2 linked regions of the Alligator mississippiensis genome follow. The protein of the gene in region 1 purifies or fractionates together with the protein of each later gene. This does not show direct contact. Links are inferred from orthologs where the notes say so. Each region holds a gene or a part of one and is shown in the gene's direction. Other genes may lie near its edges.

Region 1 (7,249 bases):
TGGCTGTGGGTGCTTGGTTAATAGGGCGTGCTCTTGGTTTTTTTATAACAGTAAAGATGATTCATCATTGGAAGCGGTGGCTTCTGCATCTCCTGAAGTCTGCAGACCGAGCCGGACCGTCTTGGATCCTTTGTTGAAACGCATGGGATTGGACTCAATAAAAAGATAAAATCCTCTTGACTGGAGCTGGACTGTTCGCAGTGGCGACAGGACAAGGAGCAATGGTGTCGCGTTGCAGCAAGGGAAGTTGAGGTTGGATGTTAAGAAAAACTTTCTCACGAGGAGGGGATAGTAAAGCACTGGAACAGGCTCGACTCATGTTAGTAGAGAGGTGACAAAATTGACCTTTAAAGCTACGCCTCCGTGAAGCCGGGGATTTGACCCTCACTAACAAACATAGGGAATATGCAACTCGGGTTGAAATATCTAGCGGTGGAGTTTGCAGCAGCTCGGTGTGTAGAAGTCAGGATTTCTTAGGTTCCCTTAGTAGCTGCATCTAGCTATAGCCACTGCTTCTACATCCCTCAAATGGGGAAGCTGCTGCTGTCACGCACCGTGACATCTGGAGCCGGGCTGTTCTTAGTGGGGGCGGATGACTGAACAAGGAGCAATGGGCGCAAGCTGCAGCAAGGGGAAGTTGAGGTTGGTTATTAGGAAAAACTTTCTCATAAGGAGAGTAGTAACAGGAACAGGCTACCCAGAGGGGTGGGGGGAGTCTCCGTACTTGGAGGTTTTTAAGACCTAGGTAGGCTTGTGCAGGATGATGTAGTTGGGGCTGGTTCCGCTTTGAGCAGGAGGTTGGACTAGATGTGACCTCCGGAGGTCCCTTCCAGCCCTCCTTGTCTGTGTTTTTATGATCTACTGAGTGAAAAATCTACTGTGGCAGCAGAAGTATTTTAACTCAGGAAGAATGGTCGTTTGCAAAAGGCTAGAGAGGACTTGTCTTGTTACCGAGCAGCCCCTTCTCTGCAGAGGATGCGAAGCCTCCAGTGGCAGTGCTACCACTGCCCCAGCCCATATCAAAATGCCTTGTGGGTTTGACGCCAGGGACAGGTGGGAGAACCGGCTGCAGACCGGGGTCTGCTACTGCCAAGTGTCTGCCTACCCCCCTCCTCAGGTCGGGGACTACATGCAGGTCGGTCCCCCGGGCAGCATGGAAGTGCCTCTGGAAGCATGGGTTTGATGCGGAAGCCAGTCAGGCCATGTGGGACAACTTGCCCCAGACCGTGGTCGCCTGCCAGCAAGTGCCCGCCTACCCCACCCTTAATGGTCGGGGACCACACGCAGGTCGGTCCCCTAGGCAGCTCAGAAGTGTCCCCGGAAGGGAGCGGGAAGCACCAGGGAAAGCAGGATCATGCTAAACCTGATAGCGGAAGTATCTATGGAGATGCAGGATGGTAATGAAAGCATGATGACGCCCCTTTACGAAGCCATGGTGCGTCCACACCTTGAACACGGCGCCCAGTTCCGGTCCCCGCACCTGCAAAAGGATAGAGAAGAACTCGAGAAGGTCCAGACAAGGGCAACAAGGATGGTCAGTGCTACAGAGGGGCTTGCCTAGGAGGAGAGACGGCCGAGGCCAGGCCTGGTCAGTTTAGAGAAGAGATGCTTGAAGGGAGGCAATAAAATATTAAATGGGAAAGAGAAAGTTGATGGGAATTTATTATCGACTTTCACCAGTCGTGTCCTGTGCGAGATTGTCGACAGCAGCCGTTTAGCAGCTGTTGCCGATTCGTTAGAAGCGCTTCTGCTAAGGCCGACAAGGTTCTTGGGGGGGGGGGGGGGAAATCCAGTATTGTTTATTAGACCAGTTAAAATAGTTGGAAAAATGATTTGTTGCAAGCTTTCAGGTTACAAACACCCTTCTTCAGGCTTATTTACCAGGCAAAAACCGAGGGGTCACAATAGGAAACGAATAGGTAGTTGGTTTTTCCACCCAGGACAAATGAAAGGGGGGAGCTCGTGGCTACCAGGTGCAGCGGAAGTAGAGAGTTCATCCTGATCCATGAAGGGATTGGACCCGTTTTTGGAGGAAAGGGTCAGCGGGAGCGCGGGAGTGTGGGGCACGGCCTCCAGAGCAGAATATCCTCAACCTTCAGCGGCGCTTGTACACGTGACATAAAGTGGCCGCAAGTGGGAGAGGGACGGGGGGAAGAGCCCTGCTCAGACCCATGCTTTGGGGTTGTTGGTCTAAGGACATAGGCAGGCAAGGGTTGTGGGGAGATGTGATCTCTTTTATAGATTCATAGATGTTAGGGTCGGAAGGGACCTCAATAGATCATTGAGTCGACCCCCAAATTATTTATTATTATATGTAGTTGGTCTAATAAAAGAGATCACATCTACCCCAACGCTCAGAGCCAGTCGCTCGCCCTTCCAGCTCCGCTGTCTGCCGCCACGGGGCGCAGGAGACCGGGCAGGACTCGCCTAGGGTCCGACCCCGTTCACGGCTGCTCGGACGCTCTTGGATAACACACGGTTTCCATCTTGGAAGACGCCCATCACCCTGGCCCTGCTGAAAACCGACCGAGGCGTATCGTAATACAGGTGTCTGCAATCTTGTTAGAAGACCGCTGGACGTCCTCATTCCACGCTTTAATTGCCCTTGGAGGGGACGAGCCCACGCGTGGCCCAACTGCAGAACGACCCGGCCCCTCCTTTAGGCCGTGTCACGCGCTTGTGCACATGCCGGTGGCGAGGGTGTTGTCATACGCTAATTGGGCGCGGACGTGAGCCGGCGCTGTTTTCCGGGGGCTGCTGTTCGGGAAAAGCAACGGATGCTGCCTTATCATGTCTGCACGTAACCCCCGTTAGTCCTAACGAAGGCAATTTAACATTGGAATTTGCAAGCTGCCAGGGCTGTCCATAGGGGTTTGGTGCCTTGAGGGTATTTGCTCTTATAGGGGAAGCCCCTATAGGGACTTCCTTGCCTAGAAGCCGAACGTCCTCTCCCCTTGCATACGGCCCTGTATAGCAGCTGTTCTGGATAGGAGCCTTGCTGTATAAGGGTAGGAGCCGAAGCCAACCCTGCCCTGTATAGGGACCCCCTATAGGGGCTTTTCCAGAGAGGAGCCCAAGGATACCCATACTGTACAGGTGTTTAGTTCCAGCAGACGCTAAGGATTCCCTCTTCGCTCCTGCCTCATATAGGGGCCTTTATAGGGGCTTTTCCAGACAGGAGCCTCGGTGGGTAGGGGCTTAGTTCCATAGGAGCCTAAGGATCCCCCCCCCACCGTGCCCCATATAGGAACCCCTATGGGGGCTTTCCCAGACAGGAGCCCAAGGATACCCTCGCGGTGTAGGGGTGTAGTTCCATAGGAGCCTGAGTCCCTCCTCAACCCTGCCACGTAGAGGGACCTATAGAGGGGCTTTTCCAGGCAGGGGCTCAGGGACCCCCCTACCGCACGGGGCCTTCGTTCCATAGGAGCCTCGGGACTTCTCCCCCAGCTCTGCCCCATATAGGGACCCTTCTAGGGGCTTTTACTCTATAGGTACCTAAGGCTCCCCTGCTGGATAGAGGGGCATCCGCCCTATAGGAGCTGCTGTTGGGGCCTCCTTGGCAGTACTGCCATACTTTATCTAAACCTATATAGATACAGGGCTATATCTATAACTATCTGTCCATATAGATATCTATCTCTATGCAGATATCTAGCTATCTAGATATAGATACATATGGATAGATACAGATATATTGATATGTATCTATATATAGATATACAATATATCTATATTGTATCTAAATATATCTAGAGACAGTATCTAGATATATTTTATTTTGTTATTTTTTATTTTTACTCTATATAGATAACAGTAAAAATAAAAGTACAAAATAAAAATATAAAAAAACTTTTAAAATGTCGAATTGAGATGTTATAAAAATATAAGACGAAATATAGGACTTGATAAACCATGTTTAAAAATTATAATAAAGTATACATTTGTTTTAAAAAGTATACTTTATATCTATTCCCCGCCCCCGAGCGCCTATAGCCTTGCACGCCCCCCCCCCCGTGGACATCACGTGACTGTCTCCAGACGCGCCGACTCACTTCCGCGTCACGTGAGGGAGGAGGGGGCGGGGTTTCCCCGACCACGTGCCGGCAATACAGCGTGCTCCCATCACGTGACGCCTCGCATCACTCCCGCCCCTTTCCCTGCTTGGTCACGTGACACAACCCCTCTTCCCTCCCTCTTCCGCAGAGTTCGTCCCGCCCCTTCCGGGTAGTGACGTGCACGGCCCCGCCCCCTCTCGCCGGCGTTGAGTGTCGCGGCCCGGCCCGATCCCGCTCCCGCGCCGCCGCCATCATGGACCCGGCCGGGAAGGAGAAGGAGGCGCTGCAGCTGCTGGCCGAGGCCGACAAGAAGGTCCGCGGCTCCCAGTCCTTCTTCGCGGGGCTCTTCGGGTGAGTGCGGGCGGGGGGTGGGGCCTAGCGCGAGGGGCGGGGCCTAGCGGCGGAGGGTGTGGCCTAGGGGGGCCAAATAGGGGGGCTGAGGGGTATGCAGTGGGGGTGGGGTGGTGAGATGGGGGGGCTGGGTTTGGGGGTGGGGCTTAGTTGCAGGGGGGCTGGGGGGGACCTAGCAGGTTTAGCAGGTTTTGGGGGGTAAAATGGGGGGGCTGAGGAGATGCTGGGGGGGCGGTGTTTAGACGGAGGGGCGGGGCTTAAGTTTGGGGGGGGCATTGGGGGCACTCGGGCCCAGCCCTAGACCTGCGGTGGGGGGGGCTGTCTTTGGGGTGAGGAAGATGGGGGGGGGCAGCTTGAGACATGATGTGGGGGAGGGGCCTAGTAGAAAAGGGGGTGGGGCCTAGCTGGAGGTCTGGGATCTTCGTGGGGGGGTCCCAGAGGCCCAGGCCTGGTGGGGGGGTGTTGTGGGGATGGGGGGGCTCAAGCTGGGAGGGTGGCAAGGGGGGGGTCGCAGGGGGCTGGGGGGGTGCAGGGACTGGGTCCGGGGATTGCTCGGGGGCAGGCTGGGAAGCTGGGTGTGTTGTGGGGGGGGAGGGGCATTGCTCCATGCAGCCTCGTGGGGGGGGGCAGGGGACAGACCCCCCCCCCCTCCACCTGCAGCCTCTGACCTTGCCTTGGGGTGACCAGCTCCCTCCCCAGCCTGGCAGGGGGGGCACGGTGTCACAGCGCTCGGCTCAGCTGGGGGGGCCTGGAGGGGCTGAGACCCCCCCCCCGCCCCCGAGCGAGGAGGGCAGGACTGGCCCAAAGAGGAAGCTTTAGCTGCAGCGCGTGCGGGGGCCTGGCCTCGTTGCTATTAGAGCAAACGTTTTGTGGCCCCCGCGGAGCTCGAGACTCGGGGTAACGATGGCTGGCAGCAAACCCCCGGGGTGCGGGCAGCCAGTTGGGCGCCTGCCTGCTAAATGGGAGACCGGCTCCGGCCGAGGGAGACCGTGGCGCGGCCGCAGATCAGCCCCGAGCTCGGGCAGCGAGTGCAAACGTGTGCAAACGTGAGGCCGACTCGGCAGGGCCCCAGGGTGGCGGCGCTGCCTTCGGGTCTGGGGCCTGCGCTTCCACAGGGAGGTCCGAGGCGGTGGGTGGGGGAGGTTGGATTTGGGGGGCAGGGTCGGGGAGACGCCGCTCGGCACAGCGTGCGCTGGGCAGGGCCGTGTGATTGCTCGCAGATAGCGGGGAGCTGATATTCATCGAGGCGCGTGGGGGGGTGATGACTAGGACGGAAAGAGGAGATGAACGGCGAGGACTGACGGCGAGATTTATCACTGCAGAAATACCTCCGCTCCCGACAGGCCTGACGCAGTCACGGGCGCGAGCTGTCCCGTAGCAAACGCCCCCCCGTCGTTTCCCCGGCCCGAAGGGGGAAGCCGACGTGCGCGGCGGTGGCGGTGGCGGTGGGGAGACCAGAGATAGTAAACAACCTCCATGGCTAAGTCATGCGGTTCTCCCCAGGGGGAGGGGAAAGCTGGCGGGCCGGTGGATTTAGTCCTGTCTCAGCCGCTGGGTGGAAGGGCAGCGGCCTTGCCGGAGGGCGAGGGGAGTGCGTGCAGTTGCAGTGACGAGGGATCTGTTATCTCAGACCAACATGGCTGTACAACAAGGAACACAAAATGCTAAAACTCATGGTTCGGAGGCGATACCTTTCATTAGACTGACTGGAAAAGAGCCAGAAAGTGACCTTCGTTTGCCAGCTGTTGGGCACATGCAGCCTTCTTTGGGCTGAGGGGGATTGAAAGATGGTCAAAGTCCCCTTGGGTAGAAAATAAACTACAGACATCCATCCACCTTCAGCTTCCTTTGTGCAAAATGAAGTTTATTTTCTACCTTAAGGGACTTTGACCATCTTTCATTTCCCCTCAAGAAATTACCTGTTACCGTCTTGAATTTCCCCTTGCAAAGAAATTACCTGTCTTTGCAAGCCCAAAAGCTGGCCAAGAAGGGTAATTTTTGGCTCTTTTCTGGTCAGTCTAATAAAAGGTATCACCTCTCAGCCAAGGTTTTAGCGTTTCTTATTCCTCATTGCGGTGGCTTTGTCCCTTGAGGATCGTGATGTTTTTCACTGGAGCCCCTTGATGCCAAGCGGGACTGGGGAGCTGACGTAGACTCGTCGAAGTTAGGGGCTGGAAGGGACCTCTCGAGATCATCGGGTCCAGGCCCCCTGCGCTCAGGTCGCCCAGCACACGTGAAAAGCTTTGGGAGGAGCGACCAGGGGGAGGCTGGGGCTGGCGTCTTGGGCAGGAGAGGGAGGAGGTGACTGCCGATGGGAAAAGGGGAGCCGCGCTCCCCAGAAGAGACTGTTCTTCCTCTGCCTTCCCAGGGTCTGTACCTGTGGCAAGCAGGAAGGCAGCTCAGCAGGCCAGTTCCTCTCGCATCCGACTGTAACCGCTAGGTCTGCAAACCCCGATCTTGTTCATAGCGTCTAGACGCAGCCAGCAAGACAGCTCCCTGGAGCTCTTCTCTTGCCAAACGTGCTCCCCCCCCCAAAGCATAAGAGCAGCAGCAGATTGCAGAAGAGACAGCAAATGACAAGCACGCAGCAGCTGCAGCTGAGATTTTGGTGGTGGGACCAGGAAGGTTCTTTAATTACTCTTGAGTTGAAAGAGAAGCGGGGGAAAACCCCCCACCCCCAAGGCATTTGTCAGTGCAGAGCCCTGTGAATTTGCGCTGCTTTCTCTTGGATGCTTTAAACGATGTTCCCCTTTTAAAAACCACCTTGAAGGTGTTTTTATCGACGCCGGTTTCCCTAGTGCTGCTTTTAGCGAGCATCCTAAATAAGTCGGCTGCTCTCAAAG
Region 2 (7,466 bases), on another chromosome or scaffold:
GTGTGGCCAGCTAATTGAGGAAAGTGATTTTTCCCCTCTGTTTGGCAGTGATGAGGCCACATCTGGATGATCTGTGTTTGCCTCATTAATGTAGCCCAGTATTCTGTTAGCCTTTTTGGCAACAAGGGCACACTGTTGACTCATATCCAGCGTACTGTCCACTGTAACCACCAGGTCCTTTTTTGCAAAGCTGCTATTTAGCCATTTGGTCCCAAGCCTGTAGCAGTGTGTGGGATTCTTCCATTCTAAGTGCAGGACTTTGGCACTTGTCCTTGTTGAACCTCACGAGATTTCTTTTGCCCAATCTTTATGGCAATTTTGCCTAGACCAAGGGTGACAAATTCACTTCAGGCTGCAGGCTGGACCCAGATTGCAGGGGCTCCTCAGGCTGTATCTGCATGACCAGCAACAATTACAAAGGATCCATATTTGGAAGATGGCAAAGGGCCAGGACCTGCCACTGATGCCATGTCCATCAGGGTTCAGGGACTATGAATTCTGTAACAGGGCACACCTCCCAACTTGTGGTAGCATGACAGGTTACCAGATAGAATGGTCTGGCATGCCAAATCCAGGCTGCAAGTCATGTTTGACAAGTCATGTTGATCTAGACCACACTTCCCTAGTTTGCTTATGGGAATGCAATGTGGGACAATGTCAAAGGCTTTAGTAATATGGAGATGTACTGCATCTACAGGTTCCATCTCAGCCCTGTCAAAGAAAAAAAAAAACCACATCATTTTTTCTATTACCTTTGGTCAATAAGCCACACATGATGCAGTACATGCTATAGCTTATATGCATCTACACCAGCAAGCTCAAACATTTAAACTGAAGAACAAGAAATCATCCACAAGCTGGACTGTGTTATGCATAGCTTAATATAGACTCTAAATTCTTATCCCATGATCTAGACTATCTTTATATAACCCCTACGTCCCTCAGTGGGTTAAAAGCTTTGTTTAACCGTTTCAACCCTCTTCAATCCACTTTTCCCTCACTCAGCAGTGTTCTCTTCTCTGCTCCCCTTTCCTTATCTCTTGTATTTAAATGACTTTCTTCCTTTCTATTTGGTACCCCTTGTCACAACCCAAGGGTGTGATTTTGTTTGTGTGCGCTTCGGCACTGCTAAATTATTTCCCACCACGAGGAGCTTTCTTTGCAGGGTGCATTTCTTAGTTGCAAAGAGAAATGCACGGTGCAAAGGAGTTCCTGCCACCCGCATGCAAATTTGTGTCCCACTATTGGCCAGTTCTAAATTATTCCCACGTGACGGCTAGTGATTGGCTTGCTAGCCGTATAAGCGGCTTGAGCGGTTTCCGCCCAAGTTGGAGGACTCCACAACTATCAGGAGAAGGAGAACTTCATGTCTCGTGAAGATCTCTAAACGCTGCGGAGCCTATCGGACCCAGCGTATACCTTGAGAAGGCTATAGGGGTCTGATCAACCTCTGGCCTCTCCCCGTCGCCGAACGATCCCTCAACGAACCCCTTCCCTGCGCGCAAGTTCCACGGAGCCTAGCAAACTTCGTGTGAGTGTATCCAGAGCTCTTTCTCCGAGTTGTTTTCTTCGGTTGACACGATGGGCTTGCGTGTTTAGAGCCTTCAACCGGATTGGGCTAGAGGTTCGCGTGGAAGGAACTCTCGTCCGCTTTTCTTCTTTTCTGTCTGTAACTGCAACTCAAGCAAGTTTTCCTGCCTGCACCACGACCATCTTTGGTGTAAGTAAAATAATCTTTAATCAACCGCTAAGCGTCCGTGCCTAATTCTAGTCTGCCGGCCTGCACTCCCCAACCCGCGTGCCAGGGCTGCTGGCCACAGCCCGCGCCGCGCACCCCCGAGAATCTCGGACCGCTCCCGGCCCGCACACCCCTGCTCACTGGGTGGACATTTGTTTGCCTGAGGACAAGAAGCAGCAGCACACCTTGTGCTGCCTGAGATAAACCTATGCTATGTGCCCTCTGGCTTGCGGCAGGTTATGTCAGGTAGGGTAGGGGAGGATTCCAGCAGCCTTACTTGCGGCCCTTGAGGAGTCACAGCTGTGGTGCTCCTGCAGCTGGGAACCTGGCTGGCAGCCAGAGAATGGTTCCAGAAGGCCAAGATCTGGTTTTGGGGGGCACATGCTGCCACCACATGCGCCACTCCACTTTAAGGAGCAGGTTTTTTTGATTCCGCTGCAAGGTAGACAGCATGCAAGTCCATTCATAGTATCTGACAAGGATGTTGTAGCCAACAAAAACTCTATGAACAAGTAAATCTATAAGGTACCACCTTGTCCTGCATTCAAATAAAAGTTAAGTACATTCAGAAGCACCCTAATGAATTGGGGCCTAAAGGGACTATTTTCTCCTCACCTTGTGAGGACAACAGCTAGCCAACTTCTCATACCTGTTATCTCTGCAGTGGTTTCCTGCTTTAATAAAGGTCCCAGCTTCTTATGTTTTCAAAAACAAGCCTCTGATTTTCTCTTAGCTAGACTGAAGAATATTTTAATTACTAGTATAGATGGGGCACAGTAACTTTTCAATACCAAGAAAAGAACAGAAAGGTAAATGATGATATTAGCCTAATGATGCACATGATAGCTATCTGGTGTCTCTTCCATTTTATCTGAAAACAGACTCTTATCTATGGTAGTAGGCTTTTCAGCACCAGTTTGAAAGGATAAAAGAAAAAAAAAATCTCATCACCTGTAGCTACAAATAGTTATGTAATTCAGCATGATCTTGTATATGAGCAAAAATACACATGCCACCTGTAATGTTTTAAATAAAACATACTTTTTTGTAGTCTATGTTTTCTTCTATTGCTTTCAATAACTAGTCCTAAGCAAGGCAACAGGCAAGCAAGAAAAAAAAGTCTGTATCACCCCCTAGTGGCAAATCCATTGCAGAAACATGCAACCACTTAATGATTAAAGGAATCTTAATTAATTCAAATATGCCCCAATCCCCAAGTCCCAATCCTGTAGAGACAAACTTTTAATAAAAAAAATAAGGCCAGCAAGAACTGACTCAGTTTAAGTCTATTTACCTACTCTGTAGGAATGTTGGAAGAATTTATATTTGTAAACAGCTTAAACACAAGAAATGCTAAATATTATTCTATTATTCTAAATATTGCATAAATCAAGGTACAGGTTGATGGCACCTCCTACGCACATATTGCTTCACAAGCAAAATGGGAACTATGAAGTTAAACAGTATTCTGGAAGCTTCAGGACAGACCATTGATTTAACAATACCGTACATATGGAGGGGGAAGAGATGATGCTAAAGCTGTTGTCTTTCACACTTCTTACCAGTACCAAAGGCTAATCAGCAAATAGGCTATGGAGAATAAGTTACCATCTCATCTGTTGCAGCCAATTTCTCCCTACATAAAGTAATGAATGGAGAAATAACAGACTTGACTAGTAAGGGAGGTCCAAGAATAACCCCAGAAACACTTTCCCAACATAACATACTATTCCTCCATGCTCATTTCCTTTGATACGCTCCTCAGAACACATCCGCACCTTGCAATCTGCAAACTTACTTTACACCTTCTCCAGAAAGCATGAGGAAGTGCTTGCTGCATGTAACATTGCTATTTAACTAACCTTTGCATCAACAGAGCAGGTCTCATTCTTGTTTTCTGTGGCATGTGCTTTTTTAGGTTAAGATGTTGGTGTGACAAAGTACAGCTGTAGCTGTGATGGCTTAGACCAGTGATGGTCAACTTTCTGGCAGGCATACCACAAATAAGTCCTGCATCTTTCCCAAGTGCTGCTCCAATCCCCTCCTATGCCCAACCCACTGCTCTGCCTTCTGCTCTCCCCATCCTGTGTTCCCTGCCTGGCTCGCGGCTCCACCCCCGCACACCGGGTGCGGTGTGGCCCGTGGTCCCCCAGCGACCCGCGTGCCACACACGCGCTGCCCGTGCCCCTGTGCCACAGGGACCACCCCTGCCTTACAGAAAAAGCGAGGCGAGGCATGTGTGGGGATCTCCTCCCTAGCCGCCCGCACAGCAGGCAGGGAGGGCCGCCGGGTACGAAGCTTCCTCAGGGGGCGCTGGGGCAGGCGCCCCGCGAAGCCAAAACCCCCGCTTTCCCCAGGACGGAGCCCAGCCGGACCCCGCGCCCACAGCCCTGGCCCCATTCCCGCCAGACTCACAGGCCGCGTCCTCCTCGTCCCACAGCAGAGCGGCGGCCCAGGCCGCCATCACCCGGCGCGGTCCCCAACCGGCGTCTCCCCGCCGCGCGGTGGCGGCGCCGACCCAAAAGGGAACCGCGGCGCGGCGCGAGGAAAGGCCCCCATTCGCTCAGCCAATCGGCCGCGGCGGCGGCGCTCTGCCTGCCGGGATACCCCAGCGCCCGCTAGGAATTGTAGTCCCGGCGACAGGCTGCGTACTCGATCGGGGACGGCCGGGAGGCAGAGGTGACCCGCCCACAGGGCGTTACCGCCAGCAAGCGGGTCTCCGGGACAACGCGCCCAGGGCAGCTCCGGGCGGGACTTCTTGAGCTGTGCCACGTGCAACGATCCTGCGCGAAAGGGGAGGGAGGGAAACAAGAGGTATTGCAGGAGCAACCGGGGGCGCATCCTCATAGCACGAATGGCCGAGCTCTTCTCGGGGTGGGAACTCACGCCGTTCAGCTCCGATCAGGTTCTCCTTGTGCTGGGCCTGGGAAGCGCCACAAGATCATCCCCGCCTGCGGGCAGCCGGCTGCATGGGGACACTGGCGCCTTACTCTGGGGAGCATTGGGAGGGGCTCGAGGACCGCAGGAGCCGCGCACAGCTGAAGGGCGCTCCCGAAAGCGACTGACTGGTGGTCTCCCGGGTCACGCGCTCCTCACAGCCTGCCAGGGAGGTAGGGGCTGAAGAAAGTTGGGCCAGGGATCCCTGGGACACACAGAAAAGCCTTCCAGAAAAACGTCCTGATGCAGCGTAGAGCCGCTCGTTACAGACCAGGCAAAACAGCAAATCGAGTAGCTAGAGCGCAAGTACAGAGGGCTGGGCGCTATATCGGGTGTGGCTTTGGGGCGGTTCCGCCTGCCGCGATAGGCCCCGCCCAGGATGGTGCCCCTCCCTGCCCACCATGTTGAGTGCGGCTCCTCCGAGTGGGCGGGGTTTCCGCTTCCGGCAGCGGCGGTCTGCGACTCGGTGCGGCGAGCGATGGGCTGTTAAAGCGGTGGCAGTGGCGGTACTTTCACTTACGGCCCAGCCTCGAGGGCGGCAGCGGTAGGTGAGAGGTGCCTGTTGTCGGTGGAGCCGGGACCGGGACCGGGGTTTGCCTTCCCGCCTGCTCCGCCGGGGGGAGGAGGCGCGGAGGTGGCGGGTCACGCTGCCTCGGGCGAGCAACAGCCTCTGGGCTTGGGCGGGGGTCGGTTGCGGTTCCGCCGGCCCCTGCTGCGGTGCTTTTGCGCGGGCTGTGAACGGGTCGAGCCGTCCCGGGGCCCGTGCGGGCTGCTGGCCCCTGCGGCGCGCCCCCCGTCCCGTGTACTGGAGAAGCCGAGCGGCCTCCTGTGCCTCCGCCGTGGTGGGAGCGCTGCTGCGCCCACACCTGCTCCTCCGCCGCCACAGGAGAGGGGCTGCCGGGTCCCCTCGGGTCTGTAACCTCTCTGGTGTTGCCTTCGGGAGCAGGCTCCAGGGGACGTGATACCAGGGATCCCAAGCCTGCTCGGGCCAGTGTTTCTCTCTGCGCTCTTGAGCAGCAGTTCCCAACTTCTTTTTTTTTAAATGCCAATGGCTGGTGCCCCTCACTCCCACCCCCCTGCCTCCATCTCCATGTGTGGGCACAGCCAACCCTAGGGGGATGCGGGCCCCGGGGCAAATCAGCCTGTGCGGGGCTGTTGGACCCCTGCAAAGGTAGGGCACAGCAGTGCCATAGCAATTAAACTTGGCGCTGGGGCCAAGCAAATCCAGAGCGCCTGGGACAAGCCGCTTTTCAGCAGAGGAGGAGTCTGCAGGGAGGGTTGGGGGTTGGTGGGTAGTGGCCAGATGCTTCTTCTGCGGCAGGGGGCTGAGCCACCAGCTCCAGGCAGGCCCTACGGGAGACGTGTGGTTGCTCTGCCCAGCTCTACAGAGCCCCCCAAAGCATGGGGGTCAGGGCGGTTGCCCTGATTCGCCCTACCCAAGGGATGGCTCTGTATGTGGGGCACAATGGGAGGTGTAAAGGGCTGCCTGGGAGCCCTCCATGCCCCACAAGCTGGAGCTCTGCCAGCCTGCAAGGGAAAAGCCACCGTTTCCCATGTGTCTTTCCTTTAAAGGACAATCCAATTTTAGAACTTGTTGGTGACCCTTTCATATATTCTTGTGACTGACTTTTGGGTCATGACTCATAGGTTGATAAACGCTGCTTTTGAGGACCAAGCAGCTCCTTAGGAAGGCTTATCAGGACCAAGGGAGAGGGCCTGCCCTAGGGCTGCCTGCTGCTGAGGCAGCTCTTTGGCCTGAGGTGTTCTTCAACAGGGGCTGGCAAGTGGCGCAAAGACATTCTTAATGGAGCTCTTGTTTCTAAACTTGAGCACCATGAGCGATGGTCTTCACTAGTGCGTTTTGAGGCAGCAACAGCAGCTAGCAACGTGTGTAAAATCCTTGTGTAATGATTGGATACCAGCCAACTGGGAGAGGACTCTTGACGCAAGTTATTGGCTTTCCCAGCAGCAAACCTTGACTGGACACATGTGAAGCTGAGCACATTAACGTGTTACCCGGAAGAGATGGCATTACCAGTGCCTATTCTTCAAGCTCTCTACTCTGTGCAGTGTGTTCAGGAAATGAATAAGTGAAGCCTGGGAGGGTGCAGAGTAGTGTGTGTGGTTTTTTTGTGTTGTCTCAGCTGTCCTGTCTGTTTAGATAAGGGACAGTAGCTGGCATGGGGGAAGGGATTTTAACACCTCGTATTACCCATATGGATATGAGCAGAGGACTGAGGTTTTTTTTTCTAACAAAAGCAGAATTCTTCTAACTTCAGTTCATGCAGGAGTTGAGCCTCCTGCTCATGTGTACTGGTCATGAAGGACCAAGGCCTAGGCCCTCTGTTGTCAGTTGAAAATAGGTGATTGAACTTGTAGTAATACTTGGCATTTTTAACTTCAGATCTGTCCAGACATCAATTTGCTGATTCATTGTGCATTTCTTTGAGGAAGGGTTCTTTACTTTGCCGGAAGGGAAACTGAGACATGGGTAGTTATGGCACACCTGAGGCCATAAAAACTTGCTGAGTTTTACCCTTTGGGAGGCCCTGGCTTCCACTCTGTGACTGGAGCAATTAGATCATGTTGGTTTTCTATTTGCTGTCCTTATTTTCTAATGGGAACCCTTCTCTATAAACACAGGCTGCATCTGTCAGTCATACCTGTAGGCACACCCATCAGGAGGTATTGTTTAGACTAGTGGTTCTCAACCTTTTTTGTACCAGAAACCATTTGTAAACATTGATGGCCAAGCGCCAGGCCCCTGTGTGTGGGGCAGGGCAGGTTGTGT

What was found.
Region 2: the proteins of NAPA (region 1) and SNAP23 purify together in Homo sapiens (affinity purification with mass spectrometry; 4 studies listed by BioGRID and IntAct, with this or other methods). This does not show direct contact. The link is inferred for Alligator mississippiensis from reciprocal best matches to the Homo sapiens genes NAPA and SNAP23.

Annotation. Positions count from the first base shown.
Region 1 is NC_081838.1:1,791,540-1,798,788, forward strand, and holds the start of NAPA (alpha-soluble NSF attachment protein), read left to right. Parts: upstream 1-4,218; 5' UTR 4,219-4,308; coding exon 4,309-4,406; intron 4,407-7,249. UniProt on the Homo sapiens protein: Required for vesicular transport between the endoplasmic reticulum and the Golgi apparatus. Together with GNA12 promotes CDH5 localization to plasma membrane.
Region 2 is NC_081825.1:237,544,061-237,551,526, reverse strand, and holds the start of SNAP23 (synaptosomal-associated protein 23), read left to right. Parts: upstream 1-4,463; 5' UTR 4,464-4,552; intron 4,553-4,757; exon of another isoform or gene 4,758-4,848; intron 4,849-5,095; exon of another isoform or gene 5,096-5,223; intron 5,224-7,466. UniProt on the Homo sapiens protein: Essential component of the high affinity receptor for the general membrane fusion machinery and an important regulator of transport vesicle docking and fusion.